2 linked regions of the Ovis aries genome follow. The protein of the gene in region 2 interacts with the protein of the main gene of each other region in a biochemical or structural test. Links are inferred from orthologs where the notes say so. Each region holds a gene or a part of one and is shown on either strand. Other genes may lie near its edges.

The links. The genes of interacting proteins can lie anywhere in the genome.
Region 1: of the proteins of LCK (region 2) and PTPN22, one has a biochemical effect on the other in vitro, tested with the Homo sapiens proteins (3 studies listed by IntAct, with this or other methods). The link is inferred for Ovis aries from reciprocal best matches to the Homo sapiens genes LCK and PTPN22.

What each region holds. Positions count from the first base shown.
Region 1 is NC_056054.1:91,178,127-91,184,614, reverse strand, and holds the start of PTPN22 (tyrosine-protein phosphatase non-receptor type 22), read left to right. Parts: upstream 1-2,818; 5' UTR 2,819-2,896; coding exon 2,897-2,983; exon of another isoform or gene 2,984-6,488. UniProt on the Homo sapiens protein: Acts as a negative regulator of T-cell receptor (TCR) signaling by direct dephosphorylation of the Src family kinases LCK and FYN, ITAMs of the TCRz/CD3 complex, as well as ZAP70, VAV, VCP and other key signaling molecules.
Region 2 is NC_056055.1:235,266,566-235,272,848, reverse strand, and holds the end of LCK (tyrosine-protein kinase Lck), read left to right. Parts: intron 1-931; coding exon 932-1,008; intron 1,009-1,099; coding exon 1,100-1,253; intron 1,254-1,334; coding exon 1,335-1,466; intron 1,467-3,925; coding exon 3,926-4,128; 3' UTR 4,129-4,586; downstream 4,587-6,283. UniProt on the Homo sapiens protein: Non-receptor tyrosine-protein kinase that plays an essential role in the selection and maturation of developing T-cells in the thymus and in the function of mature T-cells. Plays a key role in T-cell antigen receptor (TCR)-linked signal transduction pathways.

The sequences.
Region 1 (6,488 bases), on a different chromosome or scaffold from region 2:
GCCCTTAATATAGTCCAATACTTAGCATTCAGTGGAAACTCAATAAATTTTTTGAACAGATTAATGGATTTTTGCAAGGGTGTTTTTTTTTCTAATTTAAAAAATGGTATGATAATTTTAAAAGAAGAACTTTAAAAACCATCCTTAATCCCAACACTTATTCAATTGATTCTTTTTTTTTTTTCATCTTTTAGTCTTCATTTAGCCATGTGTGTACTTTCACATGGTTTTAGTCATGGTGAACTTGAAATTTTGTCTTTAAGATTTCCCCAGACTTCCCTAGTGGTACAGTGGATAAGAATCTGCCTGTCAGTGCAGGGGACATGGGTTCTATCCCTGGTCTGGGTAGACTCTGCATGCCCTGGAGCAGTTAGGCCTGTGTGCTACAACTACTGAGTCCAAGCGCTGCGACCACTGGAGCCTGTGCACCTGGAGCCTGGGCTCTGCAGGAAGAGAGGCCACTGCCATGCGAAGCCTGTGCGCCACACTCGCTGCTACGAGACAAAGCCTTGGAGGAGCAGTGAAGACCTGGTACAACCAATACAAAGATAAGTTTCCCCATATTTTTGTTTTTAAAAAGCCAAATTGAATTGTATTATCTAGAGCAGCAAGAAATTCTAAATTTAAAGCTAGTGGGGAATAATTTGAGAACTGTTACTCTTGGATGCGAAGAGTTGACTTAGTGGAAAGACTCTGATGCTGGGAAGGATTGGGGGCAGGAGGAAAAGGGGACGACAACGGATGGCATCACCAACTCGATAGACATGAGTTTGAGTAAACTCCGGGAGTTGGTGATGGACAGGGAGGCCTGGTGTGCTGCAATTCATGGGGTCACAAAGAGTCAGACACGACTGAGCGACTGAAAGGAACTGAACTCTTGCTACGTAGTTAGAATAGAAAAAGGAGTCCAAAATGCTGATGGCTAAAAGACAAAGAAAGGAAAAAGCCCACGAAAATGGAAAAACGAAAAGCCACGGACTGGACTGAGAACCTCCCGTGAAACAAACAGGCCCCCTTCCTGGCTAGCTCTAATTTGCATAGGGCAGGCTCAGCAGGGAGGAGACAAAACAGATAAACAGAGGAAGCCAAGAAGGATTGAGGCCTTGAGGATGTACTATCCTTTGTTTATGGAATAAATAAAACTCTGAGCTGTAACAAAGAGCTGTAACACTGGTCCGCTGTTTGAAATCTTTGTGGTGGTGAGACAGAACTGAGGAAATTACACACTCTTCTGACATTCTGCTCTCAACAAGTGTTGAAAATACGGTTCATTTTATTAGGTGGACCTAAACTGAAATTCTTCATTGACTTCACATTGCCTGTAAGCAAGATACCTCAGTGACCTTTCCTTCCCTGTTATGAGGCTCAATAAAGCAGTTGCAGCCAAATAGTGTTCAGAATCATTTCCTAAAGAAAGTTTGAATAATGTTGTAAAACAGAAAGGATTGCTAATAGCAAATAGAGGAAGTTCCAACAGCACATTTCCAAATCTTCTTCACGATTATTTCAGACTCATTTTGTTAACATCTTATTTACTGATCTTCTGTCCTCAAATAGAGACGTTATACTGATTTTTGGTTCGTTATCACACCAAATGAGACACGCTTGGGTAGGCTTGTACCCATTGAGGAGAGAACTCATGTAAGCTGATACATGGGAGCTTTTTCTAGAACAGCCTCCCTATCAGGGCCAAAACCCTACCTGAACAGTGTGGCTTCCAGAATCAATGGCTTTTCTCCAGGCTTTGGTTGCAGAGTATATATATCTTCTCTAGAAATAGTTCTTCAGGCTTTCTGCCCTAAAAGGTGTATTACTGTCAGCAAAGTGGTTGATTTGACTCTTTTTCTGTTCCTTCATATTTTACTGGGACTTCCCAAGTGGCACTAGTGGTAAAGAACCCACCTGGCACTGCAGGAGATGCAGGAGACCTGGGTTTGATCCCTGGGTCAGGAAGATCTGCTGGAGGAGGATGTGGCAACCCCTTCTTGCCTGGTTACTCTCTTTCTGCTCTCTCATATTTTACTAGCATGAACACAGGGGATTTTGTGTCAGCTTCCTGGTCAGGTCCTCTTCATGGGGGCCACTGTGCTCGTGGATCCCGTGTAGGCCAGGGCTCTTAGTCTTTATATCCAGAAACCAAATGAAGCTCAGAAAGTGCTGGAAGGTGGGGGTGGGGGTCCTGAAAAGCTGTACTTCCCTTACTGGAGGTGAGCACTTCCCCAGCCCTGGGAGAGACACAGACTCTCAGAAGCAGCTGACTTTGCTTCATCTGAAAGAGAGTTAGGTCTATAGGGCAGAAGCAAAAATTCAACAAAAATGCCTTCTCTGATGGACAGACGTTTGCCACTGATCACACTGACAAGAAAGCTATAGAAGGTGTCTTAACTCTAAACAGTGTCTCCAAACTGTTTCCTCTTCTGGACCCACAAGAACTTTTACGGAGTTCTTTTGGGACATGAGGAAATAGAAGGTGTCAACAGGGGAAATGAGAGGTGGCAGAAACCATCCAGGAAACCTGTAATTCTGCCTTTTCTCTAGGTAATTGCCGTTTGCTTACAGGCGATGGAATGGAGTAGTCTCAGAGATAAGCAGACCACACATACGTTGTGTTCTAGCTACCCTCTTGTTTGTTAAAAACCTGAACTGCAACCAGGTTGCTTTCCTGAGAAGGAAGGCGCTAGGGCCCAGGAGTGAGGGTGCTGGCTTTGTTGTGTGACCACAGAGGCTGGTTACATACTAATTTCCTCTAGGGCTTGTGATGAAGTCAGTAAACCACAGCCTTCAACATGCTCTGCTCAAGCAGCTTCAGTGGCTTCTCAGTGCTGTCTCGGCCATGACACACATCTGACATGCCCTCCCTTAACCCACTCGTAGACTGTCTCTCTTCCCCTGCAGTATGGACCAAAGAGAAATTCTGCAGAAGTTCCTGGATGAGGCACAACACAGGAAAAGTAACAAAGAGGAGTTTGCTAATGAATTTCTGGTAAGTTCTATGTGTGACACTCTCAGACTATTTACATAGACTGTTTGATGACAGTGGTTCAACTCTCATAGATCAAGTTGTTCGTCGGATAAAGTGAATTTCAGAACTTTCAGGGGAAGAAGGCAACCTAAAAGTTTGATTTCTCTAAGTGGTTTGTGTGTATTCTAGTTATTCTCTCCAAAATACAGTTTTAAATCTTTTCCTTGCTAGTTCTTAGACTTTGACTAGGACTCCTATAGATGACATACATAATTCCAGTTGCATAAATATGATATTAATTGAACATCTGGAGTTCCCAGGTATGTGAGTTGGGTTTATGCTTCAAACAGCTAATTTTAATTAATGTCAAGAGAAAAGAAACCAAGACTAACTTTTCATGGAGCATTATGCTTTTATGGAACCCTCCTGTGGGTTCCATTTGGATGACAAAAACTCTTGAAGAGCACCCTAACTACTCTCTGCCATATTCATTTTTGCTTTTTTTAAATGAAGAAAAAATATGAGAACATGTGCTTTTACAGGAACAGGGTTTCCTTAATCTTCTTTTGCTTGGAGAGGTGGAATGGCTAGGATGGAGAGTAGAGAAAGGTGAGGGAGATGGAGAGAAACATAGGCACAAGGTAGCTTAAGGTTTGGTTACCTAGAGGGACACTGTATTTCCTCCAGCAGAACGGTGCTTATTGATGCAGGGGCAACTGGGTCAGCCTCATTCATCTTATAACCCAGCACATCAGATGACATAGGATGTCTGAGAGTACTTATCATGTATTTTGGAATACCTCCAGCTGGTGTTTCGGCTCTGTAAGAACTTCAAACCTTACCTTTTCAGTTGTGAGGATATTGAAAAAATAAGAGAATTTAAGTGTGAAGTCTAAAATTAAATCATGACTGTCATCAACCAAATTATCAACTACTTGGCATGTTCCTTAATCTCACCGAGTCTCTATTTTCTGAGTTCTGAAACAGGGATAATAATTTATGTCCTAACTCTCTGCACAAGATTATTGTGATGGCTAAAGATCAATACTAATACTTAAATGTGACCATTCATTCAGTAAATTTATTGCGCACGTGCTATGTATCTAGTTCCAGGCACCAAGGAGATAGCAGTGAACAAAAAACCTTTGCCCTCATGGAGCTAACATTCTGATGTGTTCGTGCTAAGTTGTTTCAGTCATGTCCGACTCTGTGTGACCCTGTGTACTGTAGCCCACCAGGTTTCTCTGACCATGGGATTCTCCAGGCAAGAATACTGGAGTGGGTTGCCATGCTCTCCTCCAAGGGATCTTCTCGACTAGATAGTAAGATGTGAAAACACTCTGCAGATTCTTGAGTGATTAGATATCATGATGTGATCTCGTATTATGATAGAAACCCCTGTGTCAGCTCAACTTCGATAATACCGTGGTATCATGAAAAATGACACTCTAGTTCCCACTGGCCAGACAGTCTGAATCCCTCTAGTAGAATTAGCAGGGAGGGAGGGGAGGTGGAAAGCCTGGCCTATGTGTCTTAAACATGTACCTGGCCCTGGGCTAGAACTCCTGAGCCAAATATCTCCAATACAGAGGGGTAAGAAGCAAGCTGAGGGGGCAGGGGCAGCCTCTGTTTTATTTTGGTTGTGTTTTAGAAAGTAATATAGACTACCTCTCTGATATTTTACCTCTTCTTAGCTCAGTCATTATAACCTCTCACCAAATTATAGCAGCTACCTCACCTCCTGTTTTCTCTGCTCTAGTCTTGCCCTACCTTCAATTTTCCATTTGACACTCAAGTGATCTTTTAATACCACCAAGTGATCTGGTTATTTTTTTTTTCCCTGCTTAAAAACCTTTTATAGTTTGTGTTTTTTCCAGCTGTTTAAAATTGTGATAATACACATTTAGAAAACTACATAAAACCCAAGTATAATTGTAAAGTAACCACCACTCAGGTCAAAGAACAGAACACTGTCAGCCCCAGAAGACCTCCATGTGTCCCTTCCTCATCAGATCCCTCGCCCCCACCCTTGCCCCCACACCCACCCTACCCTGCTTTGCCCAAGGAATAATCACTCTCCTGACTTTTATATTAATCACTTCCTTGCTTTTCTAGCTCCTAATTTTGAGAACCTTGTTTTTGGGTGGTGATTAAGTGGAACCTCACTGTTCACTGACTCACGTCCTCCAGTGGAAAAACAGAGTCTTTCCCTCAACCCCACCTAAATGTTCAGCTGAGATACCAGAAAGAGTAGCTTAGGGGGAGGTGGGGGGTGGTGAAAGGGGCCAGGATGTTGGCTGGGACAAGGTAAATACTGCTCTTCAATAGGAAGGCTTTCCACCTGGTCATGTCCCCATTCCATCTTCAGCTCTGAATATATTCTCCCAGGATTTGATGTTTCTGAAATTTGAGGGCTGATTCTGTGACACATGGCCACTGCTGGCCTAAATGGGAGTGTCTCTGCAGGAATTGACTTCCCTGGTGGCTCAAACGGTAAAGTGTCTGCCTACAATGAGGGAGACTGGGGTTCGATCCCTGGGTTGGGAAGATCCCCTGGAGAAGGAAATAGCAACCCACTCCAGTACTCTTGCCTGGAAAATCCTATGGATGGAGGAGTCTGGTAGGCTACAGTCCATGGGGTTGCAAAGAGTTGGACACGACTTAGCGACTTCACTTCACTTCTGCAGGAATTATCGAAAGATATCTCTACTTCCAGGTAGATACTCTGTACACCCTGCCCCCACTGGTTCATGGCTTAGATGTCAGTCCCCACTTCCCCCTTGGTCAAGTATTTTTGTGCAGCGCACAAAGCCCTGCTATGACAGCTAGAGCCGGTACTGGGCTGCTTTGGTCTTTTTCTCATGCCAAGGTCTTTTTCCCAAGGTAAGGCTAAACTCAATAATCCTCCTATTTTGTTGTTGTCTAAAATTTTTATTTATCTTTTATTTATTTATTTTTATTATTTTTGGCTGCACTGGGTCTTCACTGATGCACTCAGGCTTTCTCTAGTTGCAGCAAGCGGGGGCTACTCTAGCTGCAGCGCTCTGGCTTCTCATCGCAGTGGCTTCTCTTGTTGTGGAGCACGGACTCTAGGGCACACGGGCTTCAGAAGTTGCAGAATGTGGGCTCAGTAGTTGTGGCTCACGGGCTCTAGAGCATGTGAGCTTCAGTAGTTGTAGCACCTGGGCTTAGTTGCCCCATGGCATGTGGAATCTTCCCAGACCAAGGACTAAACCTTTGTCTCCTGCACTGGCATTCTTAACCTCTGGACCACCAGGGAAGTCTCTCAATAATACTTCTGTAGTTGAAACTATCACTGTGAGTGAAGTCACTCATTCGTGTCCGACTCTTTGTGACCCCATGGACGGTAGCCTACCAGGCTCCTCTGTCCATAGGATTTTCCAGGCAAGAGTACTGGAGTGGGTTGCCATTTCCTTCTCCAGGAGATCTTCCCGACCCAGGGATTGAACCCAGGTCTCCCACATTGTAGGCAGACGCTTTACCATCTGAGCCACCAGGGAAGAGA
Region 2 (6,283 bases):
CTACCAGAAAGATGGTCCCTCACTCCCTCATGATACCTATTTTCATACTCCTCTTTTAATATATTCAGCATACATTTATTGCTGTTTACTGTGGGCTGGGAGGAGCTTCCCACATGCCTCAGTGGTAAAGAATCCTCCTGCCAATGCAGAAGACGCAATTTTGGTCTCTGGGTCAGAAAGATCCCCTGGAGGAGAAAATGGCAACCCACTCCAGTATTCTTGTCTGGAAAATCCCACAGAAAAAAGGAGCCTGGTGGGCTACAGTCCATGGGGTACCAAAGAGCCAATACAGCTTAGTGATGGAGCATGCAAGCATTGTAGGCTGGGAATATTGATGGACAAAATAAGAATCTTGCTATCAGAGAAAACTTGCTTTAATTATGCACCCTAGGAAAACCAGTTCATGCCATAGGAAAGTCTTAGCAGGTAGATGATGATGATGATACAATTTATTACTCTTAGTACAATCTAGAGAGGGTTTTTAAAGGAAGAGTCCAGCTGAGCCATGACCAAAAAGAAACTGTAGCAGAAGAAATGGGACAAAGAGACTTTGGAGTGGGAACCCAGTGGTCTATGAGGAAAATCTCACAATTATCTAGGGTAGATGGAGTAAAAGAGGCAGGAGTGGAGGGCAGAGAAGAAACTGCAGATGTGGACTATGCAGGGCTTGGATGCCTGGCTGAGGAGTTCAGGCTCCATCCCACTGGTGACAAGAAGCTTGCAGACCCCTCCAAGTGGCATCTTAGTCCCCAAGAAAAGGGCATCACACATCTTAGGCACCCTTACTCTGAACACACACTCCTCCATTTTCAGCTCTTACTCTTCCTTTTCACACATCAGACATGGCTTCTAGACCCCTAGTTAGGGGAGAAGGGTCTGGGAGCTTTCCCCTGGGGCAATTTGAGTCAGCAACTCTTGCTTCTGTCCACAGGAAGCCTGGTGGATTTTCTCAAGACTTCCGAAGGCATCAAGCTGACTATCAACAAACTCTTGGACATGGCAGCCCAAGTAAGGAGACTGGGGAGGGGCTGAGCATGGGCACAGGGCAATGGGATCCAGATGTCTGGCCTAGGACTGCTGACCTGTACCTGGTCTGCAGATTGCAGAGGGTATGGCATTCATTGAAGAGCGGAATTATATCCACCGTGACTTGAGGGCTGCCAACATCCTGGTGTCCCATAGCCTGAGCTGCAAGATCGCAGACTTTGGTCTAGCACGCCTCATTGAGGACAACGAGTACACAGCCAGGGAGGGTAGGTATGGGATATGAGGGAAGTCAGGGGTCTCTGGGGTCTGGCCTGGCAGACCCAGTGACCTCACTGCCCTCCCTCCAGGTGCCAAGTTTCCCATTAAGTGGACAGCACCAGAAGCCATTAACTATGGGACATTCACCATCAAGTCGGATGTGTGGTCTTTCGGGATCCTGCTGACGGAGATTGTCACTCATGGTCGCATCCCTTACCCAGGTCGGGGTCCAGGCAGGAGCTGAAAGGGTGATGGGGAAGGGCAGCAAATTCATGTCTTTCTACTTCCTCCTGGGCTCAGAATATGAACCTTTCCAGCTGCTTCCCCTCTATCCTCCTAGGGGTGGCACTCGTGCACCCCCGATCGGGTGCTACATCTCTTAGGTCTGGCTTCCATTTCTGTCCCTGAATCTTCCTTCAATAATCCCAGCTCTTTTCTTTAACTCTAACACAGGCAGCCTAGTAGGTAGAAGAGGATCTGGTCTGAGAGGCAAGAGGCCTGCTTTCTTTTTGCATTTTTTTCCAAGTTTTATTTCTTTATTTTTTGGCCACACCTTGCAGCATGTGGGATCTTAGTTCCCCAGCTGGGGATCAAACCTGCACCTGCTGCATTGGAAGGCAAAGTCTTAACCACTAGACTACTGCGGAAGTTTCCGGAGGCCTGCTTTTTATTACCATCTGCCACTGATGGTTTCTGTTTGACTTTGATCAGATTATTGCTTCTTTCTCCACTTGTAAAACGTGAGGTTAGAACAATATTTGACCCATATGAAACACTCAAGAGTGTTAGGTTTTATTATTAATCACTTTGGGCAAGTGACTTTGGGCAGGTGACTTTACCTTTCTGAGCCTCAGTTTCATGATATGAGAAACAAGATTATTTTTGAAAGAGCTTGACTCATAGTAGATGCTCACGAAACACTGACTTCCTTTCCCTCTGAAGCCTTCCATGTAGAGTGAGAGAGATGTGTAAGCAGCCAATTCCCACTCTCTCCCACTCCTCCCTCTATCTCCTCGACAAAGTTCTTTACCGCTGAATTCAGCCAGGACAGGAATGGAATTTTTTTGGAAGGAACTTGCTAGGAAACGCTGGGGAAAGGAAACAGAACACAAAGACAGGGTCGGGAGCTCGTGCAGCCTGGTGGCCAGACTTGGCAGAAGCTTCCGACATTCTGAGCAGTGTGCACAGAACTTTGCTCCTGGGAAGGTAAAAACACCTTAGAATTAGGTGTGAGTATGTGAGTATGCAGGCCTTCCCTAGTCTGGACTTGCCCCATCGAAGAGTTCAAGGGCAGCACTGGGGCTAGAAACATATTCTTGTCATCCTGCCAAGAGCTCACACTGCTCCCTTAGAGAATTTTTCTACTAGAAGAATAAAGGCAATGAAAGCATGATGATAAATGGCAACTGACGCACAGTTTCAGGGTCAGGGAGACTATGGGGAGTAATGGGGACCTGGGTAAACTTGCGTCTGCGCCAGCAGATGGTTGCTATTAAGACACAGGGGCCCAAAAAGCAGAGCTGTGTTTTGTCAAGAGAAGTCAAAGCTTGGAGTTTTAGGAAAATGTGCCCATTTCCAAATATTGGTGATGATTCAGATTGTTTAAAAACACAATAAGGGGCCAAGTCAAAGTAGGTCTGTCTGTGGGCTATATTTAGGCTGGGTGTAGCCAATCGGTTTGCACCTTTGACTCTATCCATCAGTGTTGTTTCCTAGCCTATGTCTTTCCATGCCCTGATTTTTAAATGTGAGGGCCACATAGCTAGAGGCTCCCCAGGGGCAAGGCCTGAGGAAGAGAGGTCTCTATCGACTAGGTTCCAGTTTGAAGCTTTGTAGGAATAAAACTACTATTTTGCTAGGACATCTAGGAGTTAGGCTTCTCTTCTCAGGAGAATGAAGGAGAAACCAGAGGCCACACAGGTAATTTAGAAACAGGGGGCCTATTTCTGCTGTGACCATTCAGTTCTCCAGAGCAGCATCTCTTGGGGTCCACATGTAATGGGCCTCGCTGGTGGGGCCAGGATCAGTACAAAGGGAGGGAACTGGTCCAAAGATGACTTCATCTGGGTCACAGAGGGGCCTAGTGAATCTTCTGTGCCCAATGCAGGGTCTGCCTGGCTGAGGCCCAGGATCCACCTGGCTTTCTGATGTAGCATCTCATGTGCCTGTTTCCAAAGCTGGAGAAACTTCTCCATTGTCCTGGCTGTGGGCCCTCATCCTGCGCTAGGCCCTGATGGCTTCATCCTTCCCCACCAAATAATAATCATCACAGGTGTTCTTTATGCTCCATCTCCTCCTCCAGGCACCATCCTTAGGGCTGTGTACACACTTTCTCATTCAATCCTCACAACATCTCTAGGAGGTAGGAGCTCCTATTATCCCATCTTCCAAATAAGGAAACTGAGGCTCAAAGAGGTTCAGTGGGTCACTCAAGGACTCACAGCCAAACACGTCTGTGTTACTGCAGGTTTAAGCCATAGCAGACACTCCTAGTGGCATGACTGACCTTTCGCAGGTACTGCCAGTATAGCCTTACTATCCTTATCATCGATGAAGACCAAGATCCCTTTGGATTGGTGCTCACACCATACTTGTTGTCAAATATCTTCTTAACCATCACCCCTGCCTCTGGGCTTCCGAAGCCTGGAGCCTTGATGTCAGTTCTCCCATCAACCTCTAGGGATGACCAATCCTGAGGTGATTCAGAACCTGGAGCGAGGCTACCGCATGGTAAGACCTGACAACTGCCCGGAGGAGTTGTACCAGCTTATGATGCTGTGCTGGAAGGAGCGCCCGGAGGACCGGCCCACCTTTGACTACCTGCGCAGCGTGTTGGAGGACTTCTTCACAGCCACGGAGGGCCAGTACCAACCCCAACCCTGAGGGGCCTAGGTGACTGGGGCTTGCAGCCCTCCCACCGTCTAGCCAGCCTGGCTGGGGGAGGCGCAGTTCCTGTGTCACACCCCTGTGGCCTGTGCAAATTTGGACTCAGCATGTGAATCCCGCCCACGTGCGACACATACGCTTCTCATGTCTTGTACACGGGATCTGTAGCTGGGTGGGCTCTGCACATGTGTCTTGTACCTGTGTGGCCTGTGCATATATGTCTTGGACGCTTGTCCAAGTTGTCCCTTTCTGGGCGCCCCCCTGACTTCCAAGACCACCAAAGAGAGGAGAGAGGCCTGTGATTAGCACCTGCCTCTCCCTGTCCCCCTTTCTGTTCCCCTGGTCATCAAGATGCTCTCTGAGAGCTGAGACCTTATCTAAAATACCTCTGTGTGCTCCTCTTTGGTGTTGGCACACATAAGGAGCTCAATAAATACCTGTTGGTGAAGATTGTACATCTTTCTGCTCCCCACTCCAGTCTCCTCTTCCTTGCTGGGGGGAGTGGACATTCAGAAGATAGAAACTGAGGCACCCTGAATTGGGGTGAAAGGTGGGAGGGATGAAGGGATGTCTGAACTTTTTCCAGCCCTGCTGATGTTGGGTGCCAAGAGGAGGTCCTTATACTTTGCGGTATGTGTTCTTTGAACCCCTTCAAACCTCCACCCCAAAGAATTATGGGCACACTACCCAGAACCTCCTAGAGAGTAAATGTGTCCCAAGACCCTTCCTTTCCCATTGTATAAGGGTGACTGCCTTTTCCTTTTTATAGCTACTGATTCAAGAGCTATATGTTCTGATTCACCTTTAAGGTGTTTTTAAACACTGAGTTAATCCACTCACTTAACAAATATTTATTGAACATTGTGCACTAGGCCTGGAAAATCCCAGGAACAGAGGAACCTGGTGGGCTGCAGTCCATGGGGTCACGAAGAGTCGGACAGGACTGAGCGGCTTCACTTTCACTTTTCACTTTTATACATTAGAGAAGGAAATGGCAACCCACTCCAGTATTCTTGCCTGGAGGATCCCAGGGATGGGGGAGCCTGGTGGGCTGCCGTCTATGGGGTCACACAGAGTCGGACACGACTGAAGCGACTTAGTAGCAGCAGCAGCAGCGTACTTCTCCCTTCATGTCTAACAAATCATTGGTAAAATTTACTAGGTTATAGATTTGTAGTTTACTAGATTATAGATCTGGAGAAGACAATGGCACTCCACTCCAGTACTCTGGCCTGGAAAATCCCATGGATGGAGGAGCCTGGTAGGCTGCAGTCCATGGGGTCGCTAAGGGTCGGACATGACTGAGCGACTTCACTTTCCCTTTTCAGTTTCATGCATTGGAGAAGGAAATGGCAACCCACCCCAGTGTTCTTGCCTGGAGAATCCCAGGGACGGGGGAAGCCTGGTGGGCTGCCGTCTATGGGGTCGCACAGAGTCGGACACGACTGAGGCGACTTAGCAGCAGCAGCAGCAGCAGGCAGTGGATAAGGTCTCTGGGGAGCTCACAGGGAAGACAGACAGTAAGCATCACAAATAAATAAATGGTATGGTATGCTGCAAGGTGATAGTGCTAAGGGGAAAATAGAGCAACAAAAGGGGAATTAGGAGTGTCATATTTGGGGGAGGTTTGTAGCTTTAAAGGGGATACACTAGGAAGGTCTCATAGAGAAGGTGAATTTTGAGCAAAGATTTGAAGGAGTTGAGGGAGTAAGTGGTATAGGGGAGGAGCAGTCAGGCAGAGGGAACAGCCTGAGGCAGAAACTTGAGACAAAGGGCAAGAACAAGCTCTTGAGACACAAAGGCTGCCTGAGGGAGGAGGATAGATCCCATGGGGCTTTGGGGCCTGTGGCTTCTGCAGGAGCCATTTTGAGACACATTTTAAAAGGATGGCTCTTACTGCTGTCTTAAAAATAGATTGAGGAAAAAAAAAAATAGATTGAGGGCCTTCCCTGATGGTCCAGTGGAAGACTCCATGCTTCCACTGCAGGGGGCATGGGTTCGATTGCTCTTCTGGGAATTAAGATCTTGCATGCCAAGGCACAGCCAAAAAGTAAACGTGTGCTGTGTGCTAAGTCGATGCTGTTGTGTCCAACTCTTTGTGACTCATGGGTTGTAGCCTACCAGGCTCCTGTCTCTGTGGGATTCTCCAGGC